Linked DNA regions of Xenopus tropicalis. The protein of the gene in region 1 interacts with the protein of each later gene in a biochemical or structural test. Links are inferred from orthologs where the notes say so. Each region holds a gene or a part of one and is shown in the gene's direction. Other genes may lie near its edges.

Region 1 (16,606 bases):
ACAGACGCATGCCTATAAAGATCTGTAGATCGTTCCTGGCAGGACTGTAGCCTTTGGGTGTGGTTGAACTGAGTGTCCTTTGCCAAGCGTGCTTCAGAGGCATGCAGACTGGTCATACTGATTAATGACTAGTTCTTTTCAGATGGCTGGCATTCACACAATGAGTAGTAGTTCAAAATGGTGTGAACTATGACTGCCAACCCATTTCTTTATTGATCCCTTAATGCAGATAGGATATCCTAGAGACCCCTAGAAGGCTGAAATAATGGCCTCCTCTTTATATTGCATATGGGCAGGTGAAGTCCAACCAAATCACTTCCTCTTTAAGCCACCATTTTTCTCCATAGCTTGGCATTAGCTTTAGCCAGTAATATCACCTATATTTATACCCATATATTGATGCTATCTAATTATTTATATCCATATATTGATGTTATCTAAGTGTCCACAGCATTATGCAAATTAGCAGACATTCCTGTTAGGCTAATGCCACACAAGCTAAATCTCAGTCTGCGGATAAACACAGGCCAAGAATCAGCTCCAACGCTGGACATGTGCCTGCACCCTGAGCCATTGCATTGGCCTTGGTGCCGGCACATGGAGTGGGTTTTGGAGCCCAAATGCATACCTCTCCGTGTGACTTCATGCAGGCCAAGGTATTGGCTCCAGGTGCAGACACAGGGAAAGGCTGATTCCAGTGTAGGAGCTGATAATCAGCCCCCTGTGGCATAAGCCTTATTGTCACTGCTTTATCCACTTGATTAAAAGTGAGTGCCATATTGTATGATGCTTTGCTTCCAGTTTAAAGGATCAAATAAAATCATTTCATTACTAAATCCTAAATTGTCTAGGAGGTGTACCAAATTCCCAAAATACAAAGTGTTTTATTAGACCTAGCTTTAGCCCTATAACCCATCACCAGCCTTATCACCAATAAGTCATAAATGTTGCATTAGGTTACTTGACCTGGCGCAAATTTTGCTTTCTTTATTACATTACCCCTGACAGAGACAGGTGGTCCCATGGCAAAGATCCCATTGGGGGTCCCCTGAAGCAAGGGCAGCCATCTGGGTATATGATATGGGCCCCAAAGAACAGAGTCTTGAATTGTTTAGTATGGCACAAGGGGCCTAATTATTACACTTGTACATATACAAACTGAAAAAGAGATTCAGATTCATACCATCCATACACCATACTACCATACTCCATACTATCACACTCATTTTAATGCTTAAGCTAAAGAGCGCTGTATATACTGGGCCTATCTCCTAGTACCTTTTTTTGTTATACTAACTTTGTTATTTTATATAGTTTGTACTATTTCCGTCCCAGAAGCCAACACCATGATTTTATTCTTTGTAGTAGAGAGAATCTCACATTGTTCATAACAATTTTTTTTACAAGAGACCATTATTCATTTGGTTCATCCATGCAATGTCATGTGTGCATTTTCTAGGACTAAGAATGTATTAACTGTACCTTGCCTTCCGGCACTGTGAGCTGAAGGGGAGCACAAAGCATTTTCCTTTCCCTGAAAACTCTGCTAACTGGAGGGCAGTGTTTTGGTTGGATTAGGGTCATAACCAAATGTATTTTGTTATAGGGACAGGGTAAAAGTAGCCTGCATCTTGTTTATGGAAAACTATAGGGGTCATTTACAACCCAGGGTGGCATAAGAGCACAACGCTTAGTGCCCATTTAAGAGCACTTATGCCCCCAGGGTTGTTCCTCTCAGCACAAAGTGGGCAAACAGTGGGCAAAATACAAAAAAATTGATGATTGTGGCCTTTTTTTTTTGCAAATTATGAACGTCCCCTTGTTTTTTTTTGTGCTATCAAATAATTTACCATTGTTCTCTGCCCCTCTGTGTCGCTGAATTTAAAGTTAAAGTCAGTAAACTAGCAACCAAAAACTGAATTAATGGTGAGGATAAATGTATCGCCAGATCTAGTAACCCATAGCAAACAAGAGTCAGCTGTCTGAAAGCAAACATCTGATTGATTGTTATGGGTTGAGTAATCCTAGTGCCAGTTTTATTACATTACTCAAAAGTCTATATATGCCATGCTGCTGCAAAAGGTTCCATGGTTTAAACACCAGCAGCTAAGTCCCCCAGGACTATGTAAGATCCCCTTGTCGCCCAGCTTCATGCAGACAAAGTAAACCTAAAACATGAACTCATTCACAAGCCAGAAGTCTTAATAATTTTTTTGGGCTCCTACGTTTGGGGTTTTGACATTTGATCCCTGCCCCTTAGCTCTTAATAAGATAACAAATTTATGGAAACAAGGTCAGAAAAGCCATTCTATACTTCTGGGGATATACAAGAAAGTAAATAAATAGTAAATCAGACTTTCAGACTGGGCCTCCTACAGAGTTTCTACCACTTTCATTCATGGACAATACTCCCCATCAACTGCAACCGAACACTCATCGGATTTGTACAACAGAGGTAACACTGGTAATTGAAAATAAATGAACTCAACTGACAAAGCTGCCCTTAATAAACCTGAAGGAGCTCTAAAACATATTCCTCATAAAATATGTTAACTTAACGCCACTGCCTTGCAGCACCTGGTACTGAGTTCTATTCCAGCCCCAGTATATGGGTCAGCGGAAGTGTGGACATCACATCAAATATAAATAGCACTGCCTTGCGGTGTGGTTCTGTGACTCCCAGAACCTTGCTAAGCCTTGCTGTCTCTGTTTTACTGGTTTTGACTCTAACCTTTTGACTTTGCCTCTACCTGACCCCTTTATACCACGTTCTTTCGATCAACCTTGGCCTTGGGTGTCGGAACCTTGATAAAGGTCCCCCAATGGGACCAAAAAGTTGGAATTTGCAGCACGATGGTGAAAAATATAATCCCTATTTACAGAATGTGGAGTGCTGGTCTTCTATTCTCCTATATATATATATATATATAACTTTGCAAAAATCGGCACTCACCAATCCAGAGGCAATGGCTGGGTGCTAACCCAAATGACTCCTGATGACGATCCTGAGTGGATTGAAATGCGTAGATAGTATGCTTAAATAAATAACTGATTTTTTGGACACTAAAGCCGTGAGTGCTTTATATTTGTGCTGGATATATATATATATATTTAGATAGATATTTTGTGTATATATATATATATATTTATACAGTATATATGCTTACTGGGCAGTGCAGTGGAAATAATGTCACTTTTAGGGTGAATTAATAAAAGTTTTCAACAGGCCTAGTGATTTATAGCAACTAATTAAATGTTTGATTTCACAAAAGTGACCCTTACATTCTGCTGCTAAATTGCTATGGGGTTGTAGACTTGATATAAGGACTGCATCACCCCCCCCCCCCCCCCCCCCCCGACAATGCATTAATGATATCCTGCTTAAATCAGGATTTTGCTTTAAGGCTGTAGAGTAAATGAAATACGCCCATGCTAAGAAAACAGCTATAGGAAGGAGATGTAGCCTGACACCTCACTGTATCCGTTTTTCATCACCATTAGGATTTAATATAATGCCGGCCAGACACACAAATACTAATTCCCATTTGCCTGGCCGGCATTACCTTAATCCTCATCTTTCATGAATCCTTTTAGTTCTGTCTCTAATTCACCTAAAATTAGCAGGGCTTCCCTTGCTATGAACTGACTGCTTGCAACATTAGTGTTCTTCTTAGAAGTCTGTTTGTACTTCTGTACAGAAAGAAGCAGTAACAAAAACAAACCATCCAACAGAAGCAGGGAGCACATAACCAGAGGGTGTTGCAGGCTGGAGGACATAATCACGTGTGGTGTGCTTCTGAATATGCTTATATATTAGCACATGAGAGAATATGAGACAGTCTTTAGATCTGGCCTGTAAAAGACAGTTGATTAATGGCCCCATTCTGTCCAGCTGCTCCGCAGATGTTTATGACATAATAATGCCAATTAGGATTTGAATATGATGCATCATGATGATGAGAAAAAAAAAATATTTGACAAGAAAAGTAATTGCTGATCGCTGAATTATTTGTGTTTGTGTGCAACCTGCTATTGTTGTGTTGTCCTAGTCACCAACTTATGGTCTGCTAATAGGTTACAATAGACCCCCTGGGCACCACTGGCATGGTTTTGCCTGGGTATCTACCTATCACTTATGAAAAGGCCCTAGACATCAGCCATGGGTCTGTGTGGCGGAACTGCCTTAGGTGCATATACTAAACTGAGTTTAATAGTATCCAGTCTAGCCATCCACTCTATATAAGTTTTGTATGACTTCATCTATTTAATGGGCTCCAGCCTGTGAACATGTGGGTATTACAAATAATCAGCAGAAGAAAATGAAAAAACCAAATATACAAGGGAAATCTGTGCTAGCTTAATCTCTGGGCCTAACTATTGTTTATATGCCTTCAGGATACAAATAATCCCAGCGAGGTATGTGGTGGTTTTGGGGGTGCATGACACATAGGGTTACCCCTCTGGCTACTATGTTATATAAGAGTCACATTTGGTTGAATTCCAGCACATTTTTCTTGTTCATGAGAATCTACTATGCAGAATTATGTATTTGCTGCGTCCCTGGTAAAAACAATCCTTTTGGGTTCTACACTTAAATGTCCCACAGGGAGATTAGTCGCTGCAATTTTTAAAAAGCAAGTTCCAGGGACAAGTTGCTCATCTTGCCCCGCGACAAATCTTTATTACCGCAGGCAACTAATCTCGCAATTACATCCCACCGGCAACAATGTAAATTGCCAGTGGGATGGAGTATGCGTTGCTACGATTTCCCAAAGAGAAGAGATTTCAACAAGGGATCAATTCTATTTCCCTCAAGTCGGTGCTTCATAATTGCCAGTGTTTCCAATGGGGAAATTTGCAAACAATCGCAGCGACTTCCCGCCCAATGGGTTTTCCTTTGAGTGATTCCATTAGTTTTAAATGGCAATGCTTTCTTTGTAACATCGCTCAAAAAAGGCTCTCATAGTGATTCGGAGCGATATGTGATTTGGAAGCAGTATCGTCAGTTCAGGTACTGGAGATTCATATTGTTTATTGTTCTTTATTGAGAGACAAAACAAGACACACTGAGCTACTAGTAGTAGCTACTTTTTCACAGCTACTAAACTCCAGAATATACCCTGCCATAGACAATAATGTGAATTGCCACTGCTAAAACACAAATAGAGGCAATTACCAGTAAATGATCAGCATTGTCTATTTTGGTAGCAACAACAAGTAGCTACTACTAGTAGCTCAGTGTATCATCACCCTTAGCCTTAGGGCTCTGGCACATGGGGAGATTAGTCATCCGCGACAAATCTCCCCGAGTTGCCATCACCTGCCATCCCACCGGCGAAAGTGTAAGTCGCCGGTGGGATGGCACACGTGGCGGCACGATTTCGGGAAATCGACGAACAAGCCTCGCGAGGCAACTTCGGCGATTTGCCGAAATCGCGCCACCGCGTGTGCCATCCCACTGGTGAGATTAGTCGCCCGCGAACAGGGAGTTTTGTCGCGGGCGACTAATCTCCCCGTGTGCCAGAGCCCTAAAAGTATTGTTGGTGAGTGTGAGTTCTGAACACTGTTAATTATATATAGATATCTCTAGACATCTGGTCATTCCTAGAATGGATTTTGACTGGTTTTCCCTATTACTAGTCAGATTAGGCAGTCTGGTTGTGGGGCAAAGCCATTAGCTTGCCAGTGCAATCTGTCTGTATGAGTTAGAAGTGTATGAAATGCGCCTGAGAAGTTGCAGCAGCAGCAGCAGCAGCAGGAAAGAGTCTGCACATCTGCCTCCTCCCGTGGGCCCGCCCCTCGCTCCTCCCCCTCCCCCTCAGCCCTGAGCGAGTAAAGTTCAGCTCAGTCCCAGCGCTGCTCTGGCTCTGCTGCTGCTGCTGTTCTGCCTGTGCCCATTATAGCCTGTGGATTATTATACTACCCGTGGGCGATCTCCTGCGTCTCCGACTAGCAGCTGCTGCGGCACGGAAGCGCTCTGGATAGGCGACTTTTTATGGGACAAAACTTCTGAGGGCGCCCAAGTTTCATCTTCTTCTTCTTGAGAAGGGAGGGGGCAGAGAAGGCAGCGCAGCCTGCTGTAGCCAGAAGCGCACTGAGCGGCTCAGGGGGTTTGGGGAGAGCGGCGGAGGCTTCTCATTGCACTGACCTTGCTGGGAGCATCCTGGACCTACTGGAATTACTGATGATCGCAGCGGCGGCCGAGTACCAGTGAGCCGCAAGTCTAATGGCTCCTATGGGCAAAGCATTCTGAGATCGGATTGGGGATTTTGTTGGAATTTCTAACCCCGTTGGCTGCTGGTTCCTATGCGGATCTGGAGAGGAGATGGGGGCGCAGTATGTGCTGGGGCTGTGTGTCCTGCTGCTGGGGATGCCGGGCTGTGACGGTGAGTCAGTAGTGGGTGCCCGGGGGCTTGTGGCCAATACCTGGCTCTTACGGGATGGGGCAGCCTGTCAGCACTAGTACGGTAGGCACTCAGGGCTCTGTGGCTACTGGCCAGTGTCTAGCTAAGTACATAGCAGCTTTACAGCTTGCTGTTAGGGACTCCCCGGGCAGCAGTGCCACATGCCCAAGGGTCGGGGACACGTGTGCCAGTGAGTCGGTGAGTCGGAGCCTAGAGATGAGAGGAATCTGTGTGGGCCATGTATTTCCCTATAGTTACACCGACCGTCCCTCCATTCTGTCCGCTCCTGTATACTATGCGCTCTGCTTGGCTCTACAACCTTATAAACTACAACTCCCAGAATTCTCTGAAATCTTGAATTTGAGCTCGCAACTTCAATTACTTTATGCGCAGAATAGTTATGTCCCGCCTGTATCCTTGTAGGAGCGAACTACAACTCCCAGCATCCTCAGACTGTGACCTGAAGGTCAGTAAACAGCGAGAGGGTGACTGGCTGATGGTTCTAATGTTAGAAATGGGAAATATGTGTATTTTTTAGTTAAAAAAGAGCTGTTCTGGTGGATTGTAAACTCTTGGGACTGAGCATTCAGGGATTAATAAGGTTCTTTTTGTAATTTGTTCACAAGAGGCTATTTTGCCGCTGTCTGGCATCCTCATATGTACCATGGTAGCCTGAAGGATCCTTTGGGGTATCTCTACTGTGCAGTCTAGCTGGGGGGTTCCTTAGTTTGTATCTGTTGATATGTGGCCCCCCAGCTGTTTTAATATGCAATCGACAGCATCCCTGACAATTCAGTTAGAACCGGCTGGAGGGCCACAGGAACATTGCCAATCATTGTGTTGTTCTTATGGAAGCTCTGATAGGGCTGTGTGGATTTTGGACTGGCACCCTGGCAACCTCTGTGGAATTTAGTCTGGACAAGGAAAAGCTGCAGTGGTTGTTGCTAGTTGCAGAGATCGCAAGGCAGTATCAGAGTTACAACAGGCCAACTTGTGGCCTTATAGATGTTTGTGAACTAAAACCCTCAGACCCCCCTGTCAGCCCTTGGCTGTTGATGAGATGTTGGGGATTGTAGACCAGTAACATCTGGAGTACCAGCACTGGTATAACTAATCAGGAATGCTTCCCTGCAGAGCTAGATTTATTTATGTGTGACTACCGACAGGCACCCGTCCCTACAAACACTGCACTGAGACGTGTGTAATTTAGGGTCATCAATCAGAGGGGAAATGTCGCCTGTCAAAATGACACCAAATAAGTCTGCTTAATGTTAAAGGGATTGAAAAGCACAGATCCTGGCTTGGCCACTAGATTTTTATCTGTACTAGTCACAGACTGGGGGAAGTTTCCAGGTGAGTGTGCCTTTGTCATGGGCTGCAGAAATTGTTGACTTTGTATTAATACAATGTATCCATACAGAAGGAAATTAGAAGGCTGTAGGAAAAATAATGTTATCAAATATCCATATATTTCATAAAGCCTTTAGTTACAAAGAGCTGGCAGGGGAAAGAGAGGATGCTATAGCCAGTCAGAAGTGATATTATGGCTTGATTAGAAATACGTCCCAATATTATTATTAATAAGCATTCTGGGAATTGTAGTTTAGTAACAATTGGAGCACCAAAGAGGCAGATTGCAAGGGTAGAAGTGATATTAAATATTGCCATGGGAATCCCACATATGGGACTAAATATTCAGTCTAATGGCTCTCCCAAGAAACAGTATTGCTGCAACCTCTATACCCCCCATTACTACTGTGCTACCACCATTGCTTTTTGGCACTTTATCATGTAGTTATTTGTTTGAACAAGACTCAGGTATTGGATGTCTGAATCTCTAAACGCTGAGTCCCCTTGCATGGTTATTTGCAGCATATGAATAAATATGAATAATTAGAGGAGGAAGAGGAAGAGGCACAGACCAGATGAGAAGAAGAATGACACATTTCCAGTAAACGAGATACAGTGCCGAGCTGTGAATTGTATTCTTGTTCTCGTTACCGAGGCATAGGCAATGAAAGGAAGACGCAGTTTTATTTTCTTTCTGACCGCTGCCATTTCATCAGAACTCTTGCCTTTAATGTAAGGGCCGAGAAACAGACAGGGCTGTCAAAAAGTGCCTTCTTGGGTGGGACATTTGGGGGAAGACAAAGGAGCCATTTTCTGTGCGTTTGCACAATGTGGAGTTTGTATGATGGGCTGTAGTTCCTCTTTGAGCAGTTTCGTGTTTATGCGTTCTGCTCAGGAATGTTTGCTTCTACTACTTTACGGCCTAATGGCTTTCATGGCTGCAGTCAGTGTGCCAGCCAATTGGATTGTTCCCTCCAAAAGTTGAATATTTATAACATGAATTATATAAAAGTGCTATGGAAACTAAAAGTAACAACTTAAACATTAGGCTTCCACAAACATCTAATGCTACTGGGTACTCTGGGAGTTGGGGTTCAATAACAGCTATGCACATGGAAATACATTAGTATCATTCATTTTTTGGGTGCAATATAAAATTCTGCCCGTTTCTGTGGTCCTTCGTTGAATAGGAGGCATCCTGATAACCTTTGGCTATGTCCAAGAGACAGCCATAGGAGAACTATACTTGCCAGCATCCTATGACAATTTTTGCCATTCTGGAACCTGCACCCCCAAGTCCAAGTGAAGTCCCACAGGCCTGATTAATTTGGGAGCAATTTTTGTTTAACAAGCAGTTTGAGACAACGCTGAATATTAGCAGTAGGAGACGTGGGTTCACAGGGTGCAGTTATTGCATCCGGAGCACAATGACCAAGAAAAACAAATTACTCGCTGATGGACAAAGTTATGCTGAAGGAAGGATTTCCTTAATAAGCGTGGATAAGGTGCAGTTTCCTACACACATAGCACTATTTGCACCCTGTATAATACTTTCCATCATGCAGAAAGATAAGAGGCAATAACATCTCTTCTTACTGGAAATGTATATGCTGTATAAGGAAAATGTCATGATATATTTCCACAATGGCACTACTACAGTGGTTTCACATAACCCTAATGGGGTTTGCACATGAGCAGCAACCCATAGCAACCAATCAGCAGGAAGCATTTACTGGTACCCTAATTAAAAACAAACATCTTATTGGTTGATGTGCATTAAAAAATTGCTTAGATATTGCTTAGAAATTTTATTATGAAAAAAAAGGTTTTTTGGCTGAAAAAATGAATCTTTCAGAATGCATGTGTTTCTGAAAGATTTTTTTGAGCAAATAAGGTATTAAAATTGTGTTTTGGAACAGAAGCCCACATTGGCTATTTGTTAGCTCCATGTGGACTGCCAGCCTGCCAAAGTCTGGGGATAAACACAGGGGGCCAATCTGCCTCTACACTCGTGCCTGCACCTGGAGCCACTGTGTTGGCACATAGAGTGGACTTAGTGGCAAAAAAGTTTCCACAACTAAATCCACTCCGTGTGCTTGCACCCAGGCCGATGCAGTGGCTCCAGAAAGCAGTTAGGGATGTAGGGGCACATTCTCTGCCTGTGTGAATCTGCCTGGTGTGGCACTAACCTTATGCCTCCAAAACATGCTTCCACACAAGGGGCAGCAATGCTCAAATTTGAATTTTTGGTTCGATTTTTTTGAGCTAAAACACATGAATTCAAGCTGATTATAACTTTCATTTGAATTGAAATTAAAACTCTAAAATTCACAAATTTGAATAAGCCTCTATATATAGGATCGACTGCAGTATTAAAGTGTGGCAATCAACATGTCCCTTGTGAGCCACCGGTTGGGATCACTGCTCTACATCCTACAGAGACTTAAGAAAAAAAGAATCAAAATGGAACTAGACATGCACTGAATCAGTCATTTATTTGGATTCATGGCGGCAAAAGATTTGCACAAATAACCATTTGCTTTTTTAAATTTGCAAAAAAAAGATTCCATCAACAAAAACTTCTTGCATTCAGTTCCAGATATTTCAATTCACATGATTAAAAGGTTCAGATATCCTTTGTCTGAACAACTCTGAATCCTGCTAAATATGCTAGGATTGAGCTAAATCCTAGATTGGGCACATACCTAAATGGATGACTGCACCTTTAAACATAATTCCTTGGAAACTTTTTGCATATGTTGACCCCATTGTTTCTAGGTATTCATAAAAAATGAGGAGTTTCTGGTCACCATGTTGCAACTTACCTTGGAATATAAGCCTATTTTTTTGTTATGCCTATAAACAGCATTTCAGAATATGTTTGAGATTTAGAAATAAAATCTAATACATTTGCCTTGTAGGACATGTTTAGAATAAGAATATGGCAGAGTATTGAACCATCTAGGGCTCATTTATTAACAGGTGGCAAGCTGCAGTAACCCATAACAACCAATTGGCAGTTTGCTTGTAACAGAGTAGCAGTATGACAAAATTAGATTTTGGACTGGTTGCTATGGGGTATTACAGCAAGCCATATTTGCCCTGCTTTAGTAAATAAGCCCTTAAGTGTCTCTCTCAACAAGTCTGATACAAGCTTTACTTTTACTAGAAGTATCATTGTACTGTAGTGAAAAGATCCAGAACATGTGTGAACTAAATGTTGGGATGAGGGTGGATTTTCTTGGCTCAGCACTTGTCACTGCTACATTCATGGAACATCAACTAAATGAGTTTCCTTGGTGGCTAACAGAACTGAGCTTTCTCGGGAGCGTGTCTCTCTCTATCCCCAGAGGGCTGCACACAGCAAACTGTTTTTTTGATGTCTGGGCTCATGTTGAAATAAAGAATAATTAGTAGCTTTTGGTAGGTGCAGCCAGAATATTTTTGTAATAAGATCAGTCTAATACAAATTTGGGTTTGGGATGTGGGACACATACAAAAAGTCATTAGAACAAATGTATGCAGAACAAATGCATCCCTTAAATTCTCCAGTACAGAGATTATTATACGCTTTCCAGTGATCTCCTGACTGCTGGCAAAGGTCAGAATCCAATATGTCTGTCTCTCGGAAGCTTTTGTGCAGTCGTCCGCTTATAAGTGCTGCTTTGATAGATAGTTTTTGGGGTTGAGAGTCTGTGTTGACAGTTACATGAACAGAAAGGTAGAAAGGTCTAGATAACTAAAAGAACTTGGATATGTTGAGGCTTAATCAGCACAAATATATTTATATATAGTATATTGACTAGCAGTATAGTATAATTAGATTTTGGACTGGTAGCTATGGGGTATTACAATAAGCCATATTTGCCCTGCTATATATATATAAGAACACAAAATTGTGTAACCCCTCTTGTAAAATTTGACAAAAGGGTGTAAATTATTTGCTGTATATAGTTTGTATCCATGTGTTGGGATGGCATACACTGCTTATGTCTCTATAGATGTCAATGAATAGTGCCCTTAGTGGATAATATGTAATGAGCCTTTATGTAGGAATAAGCTCATATGGCTAATGCATCCGACATGCTTTTGTGTATTGGGGTGGTTCTCCGTATTAGTGCCATATTTTAAGTCTACAAGACAAGGCAAACATTAATCCCTGTGAGCTATCATGTCATGTAATAAAGTGTCATTACTTGCTGGTTAAGAAAAAAAAGACTGAATAAATTCCATCACATGACAGACTTAAGAAGGCTTTACTCTCAAAGCAACGAGGATTGAGTTAAGCTGTTTAGAGGGGGTTTGATAGTCGGCAAAGTTCTCATAAGAAGTGAACTATAAACTGGATTTCTCTCAACAGTAGAATAATGAAATGGTGTAATGCTTGGCCGGGGCAGGGTAGGATATAGTGAGTCATACTGAGAAACAGGCTCTTAGAAAATATTCTTTAAAGGGAAACTTAAGGGAAAAATAATTTCATCCCACAAGACAAACCAGTGCTATAATATGGTAATTTTGCCTCATTTGCTTTCCTGAAGGGGGTCATTTTTTACCCTTTTGCACTATATTACATGTGTATGGTAGAGTAGAGCCATTCTATTGAAACATTTTGATTCCATTTCTAGAAAGTACTTGATGGTAATTACTGTGCAGCCACATGGCACTGACAAGCCAGCAGCCTTCTGGTGGAAACCTGTGCCCGCCTGGCCAATCAGTGGATAGCCATTTGGAAGACAAGGGCAAGCATGTCTAAATTGAATTTGTTTTATCCCATATTGATTGATTTTGAATTCAAAACTGACCAATTTGTCCAACAACATTGAACAGGTTATGGCCATGAATCAAGGGAGGTACTTGGAGATGAAGTACTGGCAAACTGGCAAATAATAGGTTTTTAATGTCTGTACAGGTATGGGATCTGTTATCCGGAAACCCCTTATCCAGAAAGTAACAGAAAAGCCATCTCCCATAGACTCATATAAGCAATTCTAAATTATCACATTTTTTTCTGTAAAAATAAAACAATACCTTTTACTTGATCCCAACTAAGCTGTAATTAATCCTTATTGGAGGCAATAATGTATATAATGTATAAATGATTTTTCTGGAACCTGGAGAACAGGTCCCATACCTGTACAGAAGCACGATGAGTAACAGGAGGTTATTATGTTTTAGCCCTCTTTGTAACGGCTGTTGGGGATGGACCCCGGGGCAGTCCCATGCTAATCCCCTTCTCTGCGTCACTACAAGCAGAGATTTTTCTCTAAGGAATGACAGTAATTTTTAAGACAAATATTTTGTTAAACTGTTCAACTGAATTTGCAAACAAATGACGAGTATAACATAAAGCAAACTTTGCTTTTGAATGAAATTGTGCGGCGGAATTTCTAGATTGAAATCTGCTGGTATCGTTGATTTTGGAAGACTTGATAGCTGAGAGGTTATTGATTAAAGGGATAACTCAAGGGAATTCTCTCAACACCATTGTAATGTTCAGTTGACTTATAAGGTTAGATAATAACATATTGAGCTCTTTATATAAACTCTCAGCCCATAGCTTTCAAGGGTCCCTAAAGTCGAGACTTTCTTTCTTTATGCACCTAATAAAACATGGTGACTCCTTTAGAGGGAAGGGGCATCTGCATACTTTCTTTGAAGCCCTTGGCAAATCATTGATGTTAAATTAGAATGTATTGTAAGGGTGCTTTCCCACTTTTCTGCTATAATGTAATGCACTGTTGCATAGGAGATACTGATGTTTGGGTTGTTTAGATTTAGGATCCATCTCGGTTAGAACATATACAAACAGTAAAGTCATCCGAACAAATGTATGTAATGATTAGCTGAAAATTCCTTAAATTCTCTAGAGCAAGGCTCATTATTCATTTCCCAGTGATCTCCCAGATGCTTTCACATTTCAACATGGCTGCCTCTAGAAGGTTCTGTGCTACTATAATTAGTAATCTGAGGGTCACTTGAGGTTTTATTATCAACTGATGGCTGCAGGATTTCATATAGGCCTTGTAAACCATCAATTAGATATTATATAAATGTGCCTGCCATAATCTCCTGGCAATTTCACTTTGGTTCGAGTGAGATCTGAATATCCCAGCGTTATGTGGGTTGTGTGGTGAAAGTCATATGTGAAGTGCGTCAGACTTTGTGGCTTTGTAAATTTCACTCTTTTGAGTCATTTTCTCTATGGTTTCCGAAGCTTTATCATTTCCTAGTTAATCAAGTCATCTCCAGCTTCTGTCGATCTGTATCACGTGACTTCCTTGGTTGTGATCACATCCGCACATTGGGTAATTGGCTTTTTATGTCAACACCTACCAATAGTGCAAGAACGCTATATAACGAGATCTTAAGTAAATGGAACCTTGTCAAGATGAGCTGTTATTTGATTGACAGGCTAGCTGCTTGTTCCTTTGGGTGTTTTTAATATTCTCACAAGAGAAAGCTATACACAAGGGATACGGGAGGCTACAGGCTTTAACAAGTTATAGTGTATGCTTAAACCCCATAAGGGGGGATAGTAAGGGCTATATTCAAGTGTTATCTGCCAGGAATTTGTATGTTCTCCCTGTGCTTGCATGTGTTTTCTTCAACACCACAAACACCTACCTGCAGCCTTATTAGTTCATGATAAAAATGACCATAGTGTGTGTTAACACAGACCTTTCTGTCCTCTCTGTCCCTTACACCTGTGTTATAGCTCAATGCTGTATTCAGCAGTGTCAATCAAAAGAAATAGGCCTGTAGGGGTTTGTGTGCTGGGCCACTGCAGCCAAGAGTAAAAGAGAGATTGGTACTCGGCCGTGTTGCAAAATAAATCTATTAGTTCAAAGATCACCTTTTTTTTATGTTAAAGTCTGTTCACTGCAAACCTTTGGCGCCCAGTGGGTTAGCTGTACTCTATACATGGGCAATTTCTGTACTACTGTCAAATAAATATATAGCAATGCTGAGTATTTGTGGGCAAAAGTAATATCAAAAAGTGGCAAATGTAAGTGAAATGCAGCAGAAATGATTTATTTTTGAATGTTGTGTTGACTGTATTGTTGTTACTGTAGTGATTTATTAGTGATGCCTTTATGGCTGACTGTAAAAATTAGGGTAGAAGTTAGAGGATTAAAGTCCTTCTTTGGAACCTAGGCAGCTCTGAGGGCAGGTCTGATTTATCACTGTTATGGGAAGGGACTTCATCTATAGTTTGTCATATGTAGGATTAGGATTTGGTGTCAGTAACACTGTGTACTAGGACTATCCATTGTGGACTCTGTTCTAGCACCCACAGACAGATGAAGGCAACATATGGATACGGGGAGGAATAGCTCAGAAATGGCTGGAGAGCAGCTGCTTGAATAACAAATAATGGGGGCCTGCAGATAGTATTTTGCAACAGCCACCATTAAGGACCCTTTCTGTTTTACAAAGTGCATATGTAGCTTGATAAACTTATAAATACACCTTTATTGCTATACAGATGCTTATAGACAGTTTTGTGTGGTTTAATTGCTTTTACCTTAAACATCCTTAGCCACTTATGGGTTTATTAAGGTTGACAGTAGGTGTCCAAATAGACATGCCTTGTCAAAGTGAATAATAGAGTCTTACTAATCTGGCTCTTCCAAACTTCCAAATACCCAGGCTGTCAGTGTATTTAAGCAGTAAATTGTGTGTCTGCCTTGGTGTTCCTCATTCCACAAAGGTATTTCCTCTGCTTGAGGCTTATCTGCTGGGTGCAGTGACTTCCTTAACTCTAACATATGCCTTGAATGAAAGCAGTGGCAACATTCAGAGACCCATGGTACCCGTCTTGGGTGCTGTATGTTAAAATCATTGACAAGTAATTGACTAGACTGCATAAAATTGGCAAGAACGAGTTGTTCTGGTTCAGTTCTTCATCTTTTGTCATATGCTTTTTCCCAGGCCTCTTATGCTGCTCATGTCACTAAACTGGTTGGGTTGGATTAATCAAAGAGGAGCCACCCATGCTCGTCACCTTTCATTTGTCCCTCTAGCAAATTTGCACATATCTTTAAACTAATCCAGTGATGACTGGTCCCTGCTCTTAAAAAGATGTGTGCTCCTTCAGTGAGACCTGAGCAAACACATCAGAGATCTGTTTGGTTTGACCTTTTTTGTAGGCATTAAAAATGACAAGAGATACTGTGTTTTTCTACAGCAGAACATGAAATCTAATGGAATTCAGGTTAATGGGCAGTTAATAATGTACCAAAAGCATTTTTTGAACTATTCCCATTAGTACAGTATGCTCTGTCTCATGATCCACAGTGCAACGGTTGATAATAAAGGTATACACATAACAACTGCATGTATAATGAATGGATGCATTTTGTGAAGGTGGTCTTAGTTACCTACCAAAGAACAGGCTAAAGTTGGCCAAACTGATGTTTGTTACTGATTGAACTGTACAGTCTCTGGTGCAAGTGTTCTCATCTTGGAACCCCTTCTTGCTCTCCAATGCCTCTTTGGGACATTTCTCTATTTTCTCATTATTGTCAAGCCATTCTCAATCTCAAGTTTTCTCCTTCCTGGGTTACTTCCTGTTTTTGTAATTCCCAGTCATGACCCATCAGTTTTTGCTTCCCCCCAAGTGGCCCCTGAAGTCAATATAATGCGCCCAAAATTATCTAAATAATATCTTATGCTTAATAAAATATGTATGTATATATATATATATATATATATGTAATTTCAAACAGCACTATATGGAGAGCACTCTTGTTCATTTACATGGGTCCCTACAGTGCTGCGGAATATGTTGGCGCTTTATAAATAAATGTTAATGTAATGTATTGTCCCTATCCCAGAGAAGCTTACCCCCG
Region 2 (16,106 bases), on another chromosome or scaffold:
GCAACACCGGCCCTGACAAATACCAATGTTCCTGCCCTGAAGGCTACTCTGGACTAAACTGCGAAATTGGTAAGTTTTGTTTTTATTTTGTAATCATTTTTCTTGGTAGACTTTTTCTGCTGTATATTTACAAATAAAATCAGGTGTTCTTCTACAAATCCCTGTAGATCTGCACATTTCCTTTGACCCATGAGTGCAGTGTTGTAACTCAATCCAGCATAAAACCAGTTAAAGTTCTCATTTATCTCCTCCCCCCTCCCCTTACAGTAAAGGCTATGGGAATCTGCTGGTCCTGGCTGAGACTCAAGTTGGTCTAAGCTATGGCACATTGATCAGGTCAGCTTAGCATGAAAGATTATTTCCTCCTTGTTTGAAGTTCTGTTAAAGCAAGAACTGTTAATAAGAATAAGATATCGAAGAATTAGTGCTGGTCACATCTTCCAGGGCAAGGTGGTCTAGTTACTGAGTAGAAGCAGCAGTAAAAGAATTTTTCCCCCCCCTCCCCGTCGTCCCTTTTTGTTAGCGACATTCCTGAACGTTGAATAATTAAAAGTTATTTGTTTTTGTTTAATTCAGCTGAACATGCCTGCCTTTCTGATCCCTGCCACAATGGGGGAAGTTGCTTAGAAACATCTGTGGGCTTTGAATGTCAATGTGCTCGAGGCTGGACGGGCCCCACATGCAGCATCAGTACGTATTGCTTCATGGGAACGCTGGCGGCTGTCTCCCACCAGTACCAGTCTCTTCTAACCTAGACCTTCTCTTTTTAGATATTGACGAATGTTCTCCCAATCCGTGTGGCTACGGCGGTACCTGTCAGGACTTGGTCGATGGCTTTAAATGCATTTGTCCTTCTCAGTGGACGGGCAAAACGTGCCAAATTGGTAATTTTTTTTAATCCAATCAGCAGTGCTATAACCCACAATGCCTTCTGTTATCTAATCCAAAATGTGTAGATTTTGGATGTGGTGCTTCAAATTACTCCGCAACAAACACAGAGGTTGACTCTTACAGTGCCGAGCTCCACGAATCCAGTAAAATTGATACTTATATTTGTTAATGTATGTCTCTGCTCCATGAAATTTGATACAGCATAGGGATTAGTTATATTTAATAAAGGAGAAATCTATATCTGCCTAGTTACTCGCTACAAGGAAAATAAAGCTTTAAATAGTTGCCGTAAGGAGAAGAAAAAAATAGAAGCATAAATGTGTAGAATTTTCTAAAGGCCCTTCTTACCAATCTTTTGTGATTTCTGTTTAGAAAAAAGATTTTGCTGTCAGGAGGCCTCTGGCACTTAGAGGATTAGATTAACAGCTAAACCATAAACAAACTAGTATATGAGAAACACTTAAACTTAATCAGGCTCTGGAAAAGCATTCCACCATGAGCCTATGTTCTCCTCGGCTTGGTCCTGTGGGAAAATCGCTGTATCTTTTCAGCCGTGTCAACTCCCACAGACCGAGCAGTTTACAGCTGGGTTCCGAAATGTAGATGATCTCATGAAGAATGAGCTGTCTGCATTCTTTATGGAGCGCTCTAATCTGGCTGACAATAGCAGAGGAAGTTCTCCACTGAAATGGTCAATTGCCTCTTACTGTTCTTAATGAGTGGGTGACCAGCTACTAGTAAATGAAATAGGAGGTCTGTATTAGCATCACTGCTGGGTTACTTGTAATGGAGTGGGGGGGGGCATAGTAAAATAATAAAAGGCCCACCCAGTGTTATTGACGTAGCACTGGCTAATAATTATTGCTGGTCAAACTTGTAACACTCTTATTGACCTCTGCAACCTTATAAGTCGTGGTGGTAAAATATAACACGGTTCCCCCCATAAGGGTAAAAGATTAACAGCCCCACAAGTAAAAAGTTACTAGTCTCTTCACGGTTAATTTGTAACCAGTCCCAGGGCATCCAGTACTGGTGGGACAAACATGGCTGTCTGGCTTTCCATGAAGCCTGGAAATGACAATGTCTAGGATTTTAGCAACAATATAGTTTGGATATGGGACCCCAATGCTTGGTGTGTGCATTTATATATAGCATATTCTGTATAAACTGGGTAGCCACAAAGAACTAAATACCATATGCACATTTACATTTGGACCCTTTCAAATTTCTATAAAAATTTGTTTCATTTTTTTTAAGATGCCAATGAGTGTGAAGCCAAACCTTGCGTAAATGCCAACTCCTGCAGAAACCTGATTGGTAGCTACTATTGCAATTGCCTTCCTGGATGGACGGGTCAGAATTGTGACATAAGTAAGTCCTCTTTACTTCTTTTCTGCAATTTCCTGTTCCATTTGTTGGTTTTTAAGGAATGTTCAGCCTTTATACATATATTTTTTTAGTAGGCATAGATTGGGGAATGACTCAGCCAAGCAAATAGTACGGCAATGGGCGTTTATTGCATACATGCTGGGAAGGAACGTCCGGTGCACACAATGCACTGCACCCTCACACTTTAAATTTAAGAAAAATAAACACTATTTATAAACTAGTTATAATTTCTCCCCCCAAAAAGTGGGGTGTTGTCTGTTTGGAAAGACGATATAATGCTTTATCGCTTGTCCTATGGTCCTATTCTGATAACAAAAATAAAACAATGCTGTGAAGTTGAGGCAAGAGCACTGGAGAAAAGCTTAGGCTTCCCACCCATTCTAACAACGTTATCTCAAGGAAAGGATGCAGGAAACGTAACAAAAGCTCTATCTGTACCCAGCCATTCTGATTAAAATTCTTTCAGCATCACTCAAGTGCAGAATGCATTTCACTGTGCAGCCTCTCGCCTTCCTTGACATCTATATTTATATGCTTTCGTTTCTTTCTTCCTCCCTCGTTTAGATATTAATGATTGCCTTGGCCAGTGTCAAAACGGCGGAACCTGCAGGGTAAGTTTTTTGTTTTCTGACCACTTCTAATCACCCGGCGGGAGTGTGATGTACAGCTGTGACATGGTTTTGTGCTGCTGTCCGGACTGTCCTTCTCCAGCACAATGCTTATTGTTGTTGGTGTCTCTGAAAGCCATGTTTTGTGATTGTTTCCTACTTTGTCATTACAGGACTTGGTTAATGGGTTTCGCTGTATCTGTCCACCCGGCTATGCAGGGGAACGCTGTGAGAAAGATGTCAATGAATGTGTGAGCAATCCCTGCCTGAATGGGGGCCACTGTCAGGATGAAATCAATGGATTCCAATGCCTGTGTCCCGCTGGTTTCTCGGGAAACCTCTGTCAGGTGAGTCCGGCTAAAATGGCAACCCCCCAGATAACATGGCTCATGTCTAGCAAGGGCCCCTCCTTCTTACTGCTAATGATTTGTACACTAAATACCTTATGTTCAGCGAGCCTTGCTATAAAGTCATACCCCATACAGCTGTCTGCCAATAATGTGTTTTTTGGGAGGGGGTAGGAGAAATCGGATCTATTCAGTTAAACAGATCACAAATGTTTGCGTGTTCACTTTTCTTGTACGCTCGCTGTTGGCTCTTGTAGCTGTTTTATATCCTCAATCCACTTGGATCCAGGCTAAGGACACTGTACATTCTGCTTTAAGTAAAATTAATGGAGGCAGCTAGATGGAAAGGTCAGATTCCACAGTGTCTGCTCTCTTAAGCACTGAATAGGGTAATAATAAAACCTTTGTTTCCTTCTGCTTCCCCTTCAACATTTACAGTTGGACATAGATTACTGTGAGCCGGACCCTTGCCAGAATGGAGCCCAGTGCTTTAATTTGGCTACCGATTACTTCTGCAACTGCTCAGAAGACTACGAGGGCAAGAATTGTTCCCACTTAAAGGATCATTGCCGCACTACCCCATGTGAAGGTGCGTACACCCCGCTTTGTTTGTCTCGAAAACAGAAACTTTCACTGCTGAGTAAGGCAGTCATCATGCAAAGTGATTGGGAACCACACACTGCGATAATAAAATCCAGCTGTGCCGTGCCCTTCACCATTAACATTCAGCAAGGCAGGGACTGTTGTTAGAGTAAGGGACCACAGGTCAAGCTATTGATTGGATGCATTTAACCCCTTCCTTCTGTTCGTCTGCATGGCAGCAGCCTTCACTTCACTTTTACATTATCTATAAAAAAGAAAATTCGAACCAACCATGTTTCTGCCCTTTAAACGCAGACATAAGGATGTATTTTTTCCTTCTGATGCTCCTAGTTCTGCCAGTGTCCAGGTGGTTACGTTAAACGGGTGCTTTATTAAAAAAAAAAAAAAAGCGAGAAATTGCTTTAATTCTCCGGCTCTTAACTGCCAATTTTATGACAGGGGGATTGAATTACGATCCCGCCGAGTTGTCTTTGCATCAGTGTCACATTTCTGAGATAGGAAGTAGGTTTGTCAGGCAAACAAATGAATATTGTTAGTTCCCAGAACAGGCAGAGAGATCAAGTAAGATATTAAAGGCAAAGTGTACTCTCTATATAAGCACAGGGATTATCTGTCAACAAACGGGCAGTCTATGGTGAAGTTTATTCCATGTGCAGCATATTCCTCCTTTTTGAAAATTTACATTTTTACTTATGAGTTGGGGCTGTGACATATTAAGCAACATCTAGTGGTCCTGTTTTTATTGTCAGTCCAAGCAAAAGGTATGGCAGCTCCCTCTGATAACTTCCCTGCACATTCATGTTGCTTTATGTCCACTATACCCTCATAAAGTGTAGGACATTCAAAAGTAGGGACCTGGTATCTATTACACTTCAGGGCCCTGGTGAATGTGCCACTACTACTGCAGTAAGTTTTGTCAACAGTATTTCATAGCTCTGTGACACACACAGCAGTGTTTAAAAAAACAGTGTCAAAATACCCATAACAGCCCACAATTGTTGCCTTTGCATATCACTTGCAAGGCAAGAATAGCCATTCTAAAGTGCAAGCCTAGCATAGTGTTAGCCTTGCAAACTCATTTGCCATAAAACCACTGCTGAATAGAGGACTGCAGCTCTGATTGTAGAAGTCTCGTGTGGGTAAACAGAGCTAAACACTCTTGGCTGTGTCCCAGCTGTAAGCTTGGCCGAAGCTGAGTAGGTTACCTGATCCCAGTGCCATCTCATAGAAGCATCAGCCTGCAGCGCTTATCTTTTTCTTACTGATGGGCCTTTGCCTTGTTTTCCTCCAGTGATTGACAGCTGTACAGTGGCCGTCGCTTCCAACAGCACCCCAGAAGGCGTACGGTACATTTCCTCGAATGTCTGTGGCCCCCATGGAAAATGTAGGAGTCAATCCGGAGGAAAATTCACCTGCGAGTGCAACAAGGGCTTCACTGGCACTTACTGTCATGAAAGTAAGAATCAGAGCTGCATTATTAGAAACCATTGGAATTCCATGAGCCGTACCAGCTTTTCTCTGCTTTGGGCTTTCCTGCTGGGATGGGGCTAAAATGCAATATTTAATTTAATTACCTACACACACAGGACTGGAATTTATATTGGCCAAGACTGAGACTTAAGGTGGTCATACACTGTAAGATCCGCTTTTTTGGTAACCTGTTCTCCAGATATGCCCACCTAAGTTGGGCAATAATGGGTGCCAAATGATCAAATTAAAATGGTGGCTTTATGAACCGTCTGACTGAGGGCTGCCAATCAGTCTGAAGGATCTGAATCAGGATCTGAAGTCTAGCTGTCTATGGCCACCTTTAGTCAAACTAAATATGCATCTTGATGAATGAACATACATAGACCTGGCTGCAGAACCAAGCACACAGTCATTCAATTAACAAGCACTTAGTACAAGCACTTATACAAGGTTTTGTTCTCCATTGCAGATATTAACGACTGTGAAAGCAACCCATGTAAAAATGGAGGTACCTGCATTGATGGCGTGAACTCATACAAATGTATTTGTAGCGACGGATGGGAAGGAATTTACTGCGAAACAAGTGAGTCCTTTTTCTCCCTTTGTGAGCAAGAACGGAGCTTGTACCCTTAAATGTAGTGTTAAGAATGAGACATGTTATTGGCATGTAAACACCCTAGAGTCCCCAAATGTTGCTGGGCTACAACCCAATGTTTTCACTGAGTGTTCTGACTTCAGTAAGTAATTGATAAAGCCCCTATGGGTAACCCAGAACTCACACCTCATCTGTTCCTTGCCAGCATTTCTATCTCACCGTGTAATGTTCTGTTTATTTTCTTTCAGACATTAATGACTGCAGTAAAAACCCTTGCTACAATGGAGGGACTTGTCGGGACTTGGTTAATGATTTCTACTGCGAATGCAAGAATGGCTGGAAAGGAAAAACCTGCCACTCCCGTAAGTGTGGATTTCTTATCTGCTGTTTATAGTGTGATATTTTATGTTGAAATGTCTGATATTCATCGGAGAGGTATTTTTCTTTTCAGGAGACAGTCAGTGCGATGAAGCCACGTGCAACAACGGTGGGACCTGCTATGATGAGGGAGATACCTTTAAATGTATTTGCCCTGCTGGATGGGAAGGAGCGACATGTAATATTGGTAAGAACTGATTATTCTAGTTTGTAACCAGTCTATTGGCCTTTATTATATAGGAAATATAATTGGGTATTATTAAAGAAATTGTAAATGAAAAGGTTGCTGAGGAGTAACATGAGCATATAAAGGAACCAAGCTCTGAGTGACTTCTAATATGTTATCATATATTGTTATATATAAAGTGCCTGGTATAAAGGTCATGGCCCTGTGGCTGCTGGGAGATATAGTACACAGCAGCTAGAGGGATTCAGGCATGACCTGTGCAGCCAATCAGCAGCTTGCTTTCACGATTAATTGCAGGTTAAATAATGACAGCCAAGTTACTGAGAGTTCCATATTATAATATATGAGACAGTTCGGGGTTTTTTTTTTTTTATAACTGGGCCTCGGTTTGGGCTCTATGTTTATTTACCTACGACCGCAGGCACAGGGCAGAAATGATATATGTATAAAGGGGGGAAAACATCCTGCTTTCTTTCATTGCTTGGCTTTTCTCTGCTCGGCTTTCATGCTTGTTTTGCAATGTATTCCTCCTAGCAAGGAACAGCAGCTGTTTGCCAAATCCCTGCTTTAACGGTGGAACTTGCGTCGTCCGTGGGGACTCTTTCACTTGTGTTTGCAAAGAAGGCTGGGAAGGACCAACATGCTCCCAGAGTAAGTTTGCTTTAAGTTTCCCTCGGAAATAGGTAGTGCACTTAACCCCCTCCTGCCTCGTATCGATACCTTAACCTGAAACTGGGAGACAATAGGGGTGCACGTCAGCATCACCTGGAGCCCTTTCTTCTCTCTATAAATAACAATATGGAACAGAGGGTTTGACCTGGGCATGGGAAAGTTGCAAATGAAGTAACTGGAGACAGATGTTGTCCTGTGTTTTCCTACATTCTTTAAGGCAACAACTTGCCTGCTTTCACTCACTGTCTGCCGGAGAATGGAACAATCCTTTCTGGGGGGAATGAGGGGGATTAAGCTGAATTTAATAACAGAATGAAGTATTTTCTTCCTGCAGAAAGTCACCTAAATTGTATTTCTTTTCTATTCTAGATACTAATGATTGCAGCCCTCACCCATGGTAAGTAGAACTGGACAAATTAACTGTCAGCCTCGTACCAGGCTGCTTTCTAGATCAGACACCCCAGCTCACCTATAGCGACAATGCATGGCTCAAGCACTTTGTTAGGCTGGGAATCAAAACTCCAAGGCGCTTAAGTAATGTAGATCCTAATTGTAGCTCTAATATGAGACTTTAAGAAGCAGAGCAGTTTAGACACATTTTCTAAACAGATGACATGGGAACGGGTCAGACTTGCTTTATTCGGCTCTTAAGTGTTTCCACCTGCTTTACAAATTACCCATAAGCCACCGCTCACTGATAGGCTTATGAGTAAATGATCCTATCCCTAGGAATATCTGCTCCAGTGGGGAGTGGATTTTGTTTAATAGCCAGGAAATGGTTCTCCTGTGACTACAATTTATAATATGACATAAGAATGAAGTGCAAAAGCCATTGCCCCCAAGCATTCCATTAATTAACAAGCACAGACCCTCTTACATACACACACAGTGTGTGTTCACCTTAATGTGCTAACAGAATATAAATGATAGTATATGATATCCTGTAAAGCTGTTCAGTCTATGTGAAACTACAACTTTCATCTTGGCTTTGCTGGGAGTTGTGGGCCAGCAGCTGGAGGGCAGCAGATTAGACATGTCAGCTGTATTGTGGTGCAATGAGGCCTTGCCTTATAGGATAAAAGTCTAATACCTCCCCTTCCTTTCACTTCCGTAGCTATAACAGTGGGACATGCGTTGATGGAGACAACTGGTACCGATGTGAATGTGCTCCTGGATTTGCTGGTCCCGACTGTCGGATAAGTAAGTATCCTAATAAAAGGCTTGGGCAGATTGCCCTTTGTTTTGAAACTTCCTTTAACCTTCATGGGGCCTTGAGTCAAAGGAAACGTCTTAACTAAATGAATTTAAATAGTTGCTAACAGGCAGAAAAAGTTATTAATAAACAGTAATAAAGTGGTTTGCAGCATATAACTTATAGCAACCTCTGCTTAAAAAACAGGTAATCTGTAAATGATGCCTTCTCATTGGTTGTGGGTTATAAAAACCTGTTGCTAACCATGCAACTTTTATTTTAGCTATTTATTACAACTCGGAAATCTCCTTTCTGAATAGGGAAGGTTCTCATATTTCCCCTTTGCAAACTTCTGATACAGCCAATAAGCCGTAAGGATATTTTAGGCACTTTTCATTAGTTAAACAGGTTTCTATAATGATTATTTTGTTTGTTTATAGATATCAATGAGTGCCAATCTTCACCCTGTGCTTTTGGAGCTACTTGCATAGATGAAATCAATGGCTACCGTTGTACCTGCCCGCCTGGCCGTAGTGGTCCAAGGTGCCAAGAAGGTAATGAAAAACAATGTGTTTCTCCCCCTCTCTGCTACCAAATAACCAGTTTGTGCCCTGCTCTGGTAATGATGGTATTGCCATATACTAACACGACCATTTGTGCAGTTACAGGAAGGCCTTGTATAACTAATGGCCATATGATGCCAGACGGGGCCAAATGGGATGATGACTGCAACTCCTGCCAGTGTCTGAACGGCAAAGTGACATGCTCAAAGGTACGTGAGTGTTCCCTAATGTATTTGCCTTTGTCTTGCTGCTTACAGATATAAGAGCAGGGGTCATGTGTAAAAGCCCTTTATCCCCAAACCTAACAATACTGATTTAGGAATTAATTTTCTGCATATATTATATCTAAAATAAATCCAATAAAACAACCACAAATACTGTGCATGATTTAGTGATCGTAGTTCCATGGTAGGAATATCTGGGCCATAATGTATGTATACTGATTAGCAGTAAGTACTCTGTGAAGCAATTATGCTCTGCCTTGTAAATGTCTGTATCCATCAATCAAAGCTTAGAGTGTTAAACTCCTGTGTTATGTCTATATCTAGGTGTGGTGTGGCCCTCAGCGTTGTGATATACACGGCAGCAGCGAATGCCCTGCTGGGCAGACTTGTGTTCCAATAAGAGACAACCATTGCTTTGTTCCCCCTTGCACTGGGGTGGGTGAATGCTGGCCGACCAATCAGCCGCCTGTCAAGACTAAGTGTAACGCTAATGCCAGCTATCAGGATGCCAGCTGTGCCAACATCACCTTTACATTTAATAAGGAGATGATGTCACCGGTAAGTCAAACTATCAAAAGCAATGATTTGAATGTTTTATCTGTTATTGTTGTTGCCAAAGCTGAGAGGCATCAGTTGGAGGGAAAAACTCCAGCTTGCAGTTCCCAGCAGCTACTTGACCCATTCAGTATGAAACCACACATCCACGAACAATGCAAATAGATCATGTGTTGCGGCGAATCATGGGGCAGGTTACAAACAACATCCATCCCAGTCCCTGGTTGGCTCTTAGCTGAGAATCACATCACGCAGTCATTTGCCCTTCTGACTGCTGTAGAAACAATGCTGCCAGACAAAACTCCTGGAATGCTTTTAAAGCCGTGTCTATGGGAAAACCAGGGTTTAATAGTCACAAGCATATTCCTTAACGGCTTTAGGGAAGATATTCGCCAATACATTATTTTTTCCCATAGACAATGCTCAGAGGAAATTCCAGCCGTTGTGTCTAGCGACACAGTCCTTTGAATAATGCTCGGCTGTAATTCTGAAGGCTTTTTTATTGTTTCTCATGGGTTGCTGGGAAGGGAATAGGCCCATGTTTTGCCCTTTCCCTTATTCAGGCTCTCATTTTCCCTTTGTCACCTAAACCACTACATATTGGCTGAGTATTTGGCTTATTAAAGGCAAACTCTACCTATGTATGTAACAGTCTGGCACTGTATGAACATTGGCTCCTTTGGCAACCTCAGTATTTTCCTGGTTTAGCCAGCAATGTGATGATCCCAAATTGGTCCCATGAACCACAACTGGATTATGAGGGTTAGGGTGACCCTTCAGTAGCGGACTGTACCAATGTTTCAAGGCAGGTGACTTTTTTTGGACAGATATCAGTCAGACGTTCCATTGCAGGGGCAACATACAAGGGCCAATAAGCTAGAGACTTAGTCTGGAGGGGCCGAGTCAACATCTTTTATTATGGGAATGGCATATCCTTCCAATGCTATTCTGTTCTGCAGAATGATCCTGTTTATCCAGTTAAGTGATGGCTTTATTGTGTTTTGCATTATCAGGGACTCACTACCGAGAGCATTTGCAATGAACTGAGGAATCTCAACATTTTGAAGAATGTTTCCGCTGAATATTCCATCTACATTACCTGTGAACTTTCTCCATCAGCAAACAACGAGATCCATGTGGCTATAGTGAGTAACGTTCATGGAACATATCCTGCATTAAATATAGCTGCAGCAGAGTCACTAAGCAAACAGCTTCTGCTGCACAGTGCTGGCCAGAGTTAGTGCTCGGGCTGCTTCTCTCCCAGCCTATAGAGCTGAAATCCTGCAAGATAACTACAATTTTCCTTGAGCTATAAATGTGCATGATCAGCCATCATGAGACACTCGACATATACAGCAGTAGCATAGCTTTGTTATGCTCCAGGCTAAATGCAGCAATAGGAAGGGATATCCATCAGGCCTGGGTTGTTAATATATCTTTTCTTTGGTTTTTAGTCTGTGGAGGAAAATGGAGACGGCAGGAATCCAGTTAAAGACATCACCGAACGAATCATTGATCTTGTTAGCAAGCGAGATGCCAACAACACTTTCATTGCTTCAGTGGCAGAAGTTCGAGTCCAGAGGCGACAAGCCAAAAACGGCACAGGTGAGTTGCAATGAATGTATATTTAAGTTAACATCATTAGGGTTATGTAATAAAAGGCACTAAGTTTGCCCCATAGTAACCCATAGCAACTAATCAGCAGGTAGCATTTACTTGTCACCTGTTACAAAACTTACCCTTTCATAGAACCCCTATATAAAAACAATGCACATACGAGGCAAGTGTCTGTAGATTCTAGGTCACTGGCCAGCTGTTTCTGATGCTTAGTAGATGTGGAAATCCTCTAATTGCTGCAATAGTTACTTAGAAATGGCACGGTGGTGCTACAAAACAGTTTAGAAGGGAATTTTCATTTCATGAGAAGCCAGTTAATAATAATATAGGGTAGATCCATGGACCAACTGTGGCCCTTTGTTGTATTTTTTATGCCCCCACCAGGGTACTTAAATATCTGGTCCTGGAACATTGATGATATATTGGATGATCTCCCAACCACTTGCACAATATGGCTGTGCATCCTAGGCCAAACCCAAGCATAACTCACCTGGTGGTTGGCCAATAGCAGTGTTTCCACCCATTACACTTGTAGCCTATTGCAAGCAGAGTTTATACCTCGGAATATCCAGTTAGCGAATAATAAAACAGTAAAGAAATAATCCCTGAGGGTTTCCAGTTTCATGGCCTTTATTTATCCAGCAGAAATCTTCTGCTTAACGTCATTCCTTAGGCCGTGCAACTTTCATTCATTGAGGAGATTGTGAGGAATGTCTTTCGCACCTACCCTGTAGGTTTATGGCACATACTCTAACTATGGGAATAGATTGAGACAAATCTGCATCCAAGGTCAGCAGGAGGGGAATATTCCAGCCTTCTAGGTAGCATTGCAGCTGAATGGCTAAATAGTAAAGGCTTTACCAGACTCCCCAAAGAGGCTGTCAGCATCCATAAAGGGGTTGTTCACCTTCACATTAACTTTTAGTATATTTTAGAACGACCTGTTCATGGCAACTTTTCAGTTGGTCTTCCTTTTTTATTATTTTATAGTTTACAGCTATCAAATGAGGGTCACTGACCCAAGCAACCATGAAACCGATGCTCTGCGAGGCTACAATTTTATTTTATTTCTCTTTCAAACCACTACCTGGTTGTTATGTTAAATTGGACCCTAGCAACCAAATATCTGCTGAAATTCCAAACTGGAGAGCAGCTGAACCAAAAGCTCATTCATTTTTAAAATTACAATAAAAAAAAAAAAAAGTTGAAATCTCAGATTAGCACTCTACATCAGTGATCCCCAACCAGTGACTGAGGGGCAACATATTGCTCACCAACCCCTTGGATGTTGCTCTCAGTGCCCCCAAACCAGGTAATTATTTTTGAATTCCTGACTTGGGGGCAAGTTTTGGTTGAATAAAAACAAGATTTCCTACCAAATAAAGCCCCTGTAAGCTGATAGAGGTGCATAGAGGCTGCCTAATAGCCAATCACAGCCCTTATTTGGCTCCTCCATGAACTTTTATAGTGCTTGTGTTGCTCCCCAAGTCTTTTTACATTTGACTGTGGCTCATGAGTAAGAAAGGTTGGGGACCCCTGCTTTACATCATTATAAAAGGTTAACTACCCATTTAATCTGCAGTGATTTCATCAGCATTAACATTTTTTCCCGATCTCTCGTAGATTTCCTGGTTCCATTATTGAGCTCCATTCTAACCGTGGCCTGGGTCTGCTGCCTGGTGACCGCTTTCTACTGGTGCATTCGGAAGCGCAGAAAGCAAAGCAGCCATTCTCACACGGCGTCGGAAGACAATACCACCAACAACGTGCGGGAGCAGCTCAACCAGATCAAGAACCCCATCGAGAAACACGGGGCCAACACTGTGCCGATCAAAGACTACGAAAACAAAAACTCCAAAATTGCAAAAATAAGGACACACAATTCAGAGGTGGAGGAGGACGACATGGACAAGCACCAGCAAAAGCCCCGATACGTCAAGCAGCCGGCGTACACGCTGGTCGACAGAGACGAAAAGCCGCCCAACAGCACTCCTAGCAAACAGCCAAACTGGACAAATAAACAAGACAACAGAGACTTAGAAACAGCACAGAGCCTAAATCGGATGGAATACATCGTATAGCAGAATGTAGCGCTGCCATGCAGAGCTTGTGACTGCTCCCGAGGGCTTAGCTTCACTAGTTCTTAAACTGTTGTGTAATATTTGAGTCTAAGGCTATTATTTACTTAGAATCCCTATGTTAATTTAAGTTTTGACAAGCTGGCTTACACTGGCAATGATAGTTGCTGTGGTTGGCTGGAATACCAAGTGCTGCATTTCACATCTATGCAAAACTAGTCCAAAAGTGCCCTGATGTCAATTCAGCTGCAGCCGGAACGCCGCGAAAACGCTAAAAGCCTTCGGCGTTCGGCTCCTATCTCTCCGTTCAGTTCTTCTCCTTCCCCATAGCAACGCCATCTTAGAATCATCACTTTTTTTAATTTATATTTATTTTAGATGTAGCTTTTTGTTTTTTAAACATTCGTACATTCGGTTTTTATGGTGACGTAGAACTAGTTCTGTATTTGAAAGTGCCTTTGCAGCTCAGAACCACAGCAACTATCACAAATTTAAGTTTATTATTTATTTTTTTATTGTTATTGTGTCAGGGGGGGAGGGGCGGGTGGGACTGTCAGCTGATGCTGGTCAAATGAAGAAATTTCAATCTTTTTTTTTTTTTCCCTTTTTTTTGTATAGACCTGTAAATATTTTTTTTTATTAATCACTGTGTATATTTGATTTATTAACTTAATAATCAAGAGCCTTAAATATCATTCCTTTTTATTTATATGTACATGTTTAGAATTGACTGGTTTTTTGATAGCTTTGTAAGCTTCCGGCTTTTTTTTTTTTCCCCCAGAACTTATTTCTTGTTCCGTGTTACGTATATGCCAAAATTTAAGGTGTTTTTTTTTTAAAAAAATAGTTTATTTTTTAACAATAGGACGGGCTGACACGCCTCGATGCTGTTTTTGTACAATGTTAAAGAACACCTTTATATAGTATCACTTAAACTATTTTTTTGTAAGTTCCGACTCAAACTGTTTTTTTTTTCGAGAGTTCGACTTTAGAACAATATTTGCTGCTTTCGGCTTTGATATAAAAACAAAAAACAAAAAAAAAGGACAAAACAGAGCGACTGGCAGATATTCTGCTGCAACGCGGTGCGAGGGAACGGACGCGGCGGTGCATGTAAGGAGACAACGACAATGGAAATCAAATTGGCGGAAGTGGAGGCGCAGTAATCTCGTTTTTTTTTTGTTTGTAAATTCTTTTTCCACAATGAAAATGTAACTACAGAACCACTTGTAGATATGATTTTGTTCTTTTTTTTTTATAATCTACTGAAACTAGGGGAGTATTCTGTTAAGCTAGAGGTTGAATACTTGAACAGTAGAATGTCGAGTGATCACTGTTGCTTTCCTATACGTTACACTGCCTGCCTTAACTTCAATAGAAAGAAAATCTATGACCAAAAACAATAAAAGTTTGTGATATTAAAAAAAAAAAAAGCCAAGTTTATTTTGCCTATAATCATTATGTTTGTCCCAGTGGAGTCTTTATTTTTGGGGGAGGGACTTTGAGTACAAGTGGAGCCCATTATTCCCACCATAAGCTTATTTAACCTCCTATAGCATCTGTCTAATTGTTATAAGAGTGGTTCCTGGGATGCCCGACACTACTATAGACCCATAACATGATATTGCTGACGGTCACAGTGAAAAGAAAAGATATGATTCAGATTGGCAGCTGTAAATCTGGAATGAAAGTGTGTGCACTTATGGATAATGGTGGCTGTAGTAAATCAATAGTAGGGCAGGCATTTAGGCATTGCCTAATATTGGCATACGTTATGAACAACAAAGTTTTCCTATGGCATTAGGAATCATGCTTTAATATAAATATAAATCATTTTTTCCCCAGAAATCTCCATATAACGATTGACTGAATTACAAACCATTAAAGAAAGATAAGAACAAAAACCACTAGTTGTAAACTGAATAGATATTCCTTTTGGCACCGTCTGTATTAGGATTTGTGACTCCCCAGGGCTGATATAATGGCTATAGGCTTAAAGCAATTGGTCAGTGAGTGCTCATAGATTCTCTTCTGTAACATCTGCAGTAGTGACGGAGCGTACAAGGTGTTGCAGCGCAATGCCGTGACTACCCCTCTGCTACAGTAGGTGTTCTTAGCGCTACCGCTATATTGATGTATGCAACAAAAACTGAATCTAGTTATCACAACAGTTAGCAATGGAGGTCCTGAATAAACCATGTTTTTTTTGTGACATTAGTGTTATGAACCTTAAATGCATCTTTGATGTGTTGGCAATAAATTCTGAAAAGTAAATATTTATTAAATTTTTTTTTTGTATGAAAATTTGGAAGTGTGCCTTTCATTTTCCCCCCTCAGGGTCACTAAACACTCGGGCCTCCGTTCATATGATTGGGGCTCATTTGACTGATGTGAGTGTGTCAGACTATGAATGGGAATATTATTCATGGGTGGACAGGTCGGAGCTATGGCTCGCTATAAATTACATTCCTGCCTATATTGGCGCACCTGGATGATCCATGAGATTTCTTTAATATTTTGGAATAGTTAAACAGCTCAGTCATTTTAACTGAAAGGGGATCTCTACCCTAAATATAACTGTTATTGACTTTATGTCTCTCCATATCTTTTTTTTCTGCACCGCTGCTTCCAATTCCTGTTGATGAATAGACCTGACCAAACAAGGTTCCAACTAAATCAGAATTTTTGGATGGTAATGTAATAGAAAGTCATTTCTGCCAGGTTTAGTAACCCATTG

What was found.
Region 2: the proteins of notch2 (region 1) and jag1 form a complex in vitro, tested with the Homo sapiens proteins (2 studies listed by BioGRID). The link is inferred for Xenopus tropicalis from reciprocal best matches to the Homo sapiens genes NOTCH2 and JAG1.

Annotation. Positions count from the first base shown.
Region 1 is NC_030680.2:117,931,988-117,948,593, reverse strand, and holds the start of notch2 (neurogenic locus notch homolog protein 2), read left to right. Parts: upstream 1-5,832; 5' UTR 5,833-6,325; coding exon 6,326-6,386; intron 6,387-16,606. UniProt on the Homo sapiens protein: Functions as a receptor for membrane-bound ligands Jagged-1 (JAG1), Jagged-2 (JAG2) and Delta-1 (DLL1) to regulate cell-fate determination.
Region 2 is NC_030681.2:26,870,119-26,886,224, reverse strand, and holds the end of jag1 (protein jagged-1), read left to right. Parts: coding exon 1-69; intron 70-576; coding exon 577-690; intron 691-770; coding exon 771-884; intron 885-2,148; coding exon 2,149-2,262; intron 2,263-2,844; coding exon 2,845-2,891; intron 2,892-3,061; coding exon 3,062-3,235; intron 3,236-3,673; coding exon 3,674-3,824; intron 3,825-5,129; coding exon 5,130-5,294; intron 5,295-5,777; coding exon 5,778-5,891; intron 5,892-6,151; coding exon 6,152-6,265; intron 6,266-6,354; coding exon 6,355-6,468; intron 6,469-7,002; coding exon 7,003-7,119; intron 7,120-7,509; coding exon 7,510-7,537; intron 7,538-8,254; coding exon 8,255-8,340; intron 8,341-8,772; coding exon 8,773-8,886; intron 8,887-8,994; coding exon 8,995-9,104; intron 9,105-9,443; coding exon 9,444-9,677; intron 9,678-10,687; coding exon 10,688-10,819; intron 10,820-11,128; coding exon 11,129-11,279; intron 11,280-12,914; coding exon 12,915-13,372; 3' UTR 13,373-15,673; and 1 more. UniProt on the Homo sapiens protein: Ligand for multiple Notch receptors and involved in the mediation of Notch signaling. May be involved in cell-fate decisions during hematopoiesis. Seems to be involved in early and late stages of mammalian cardiovascular development.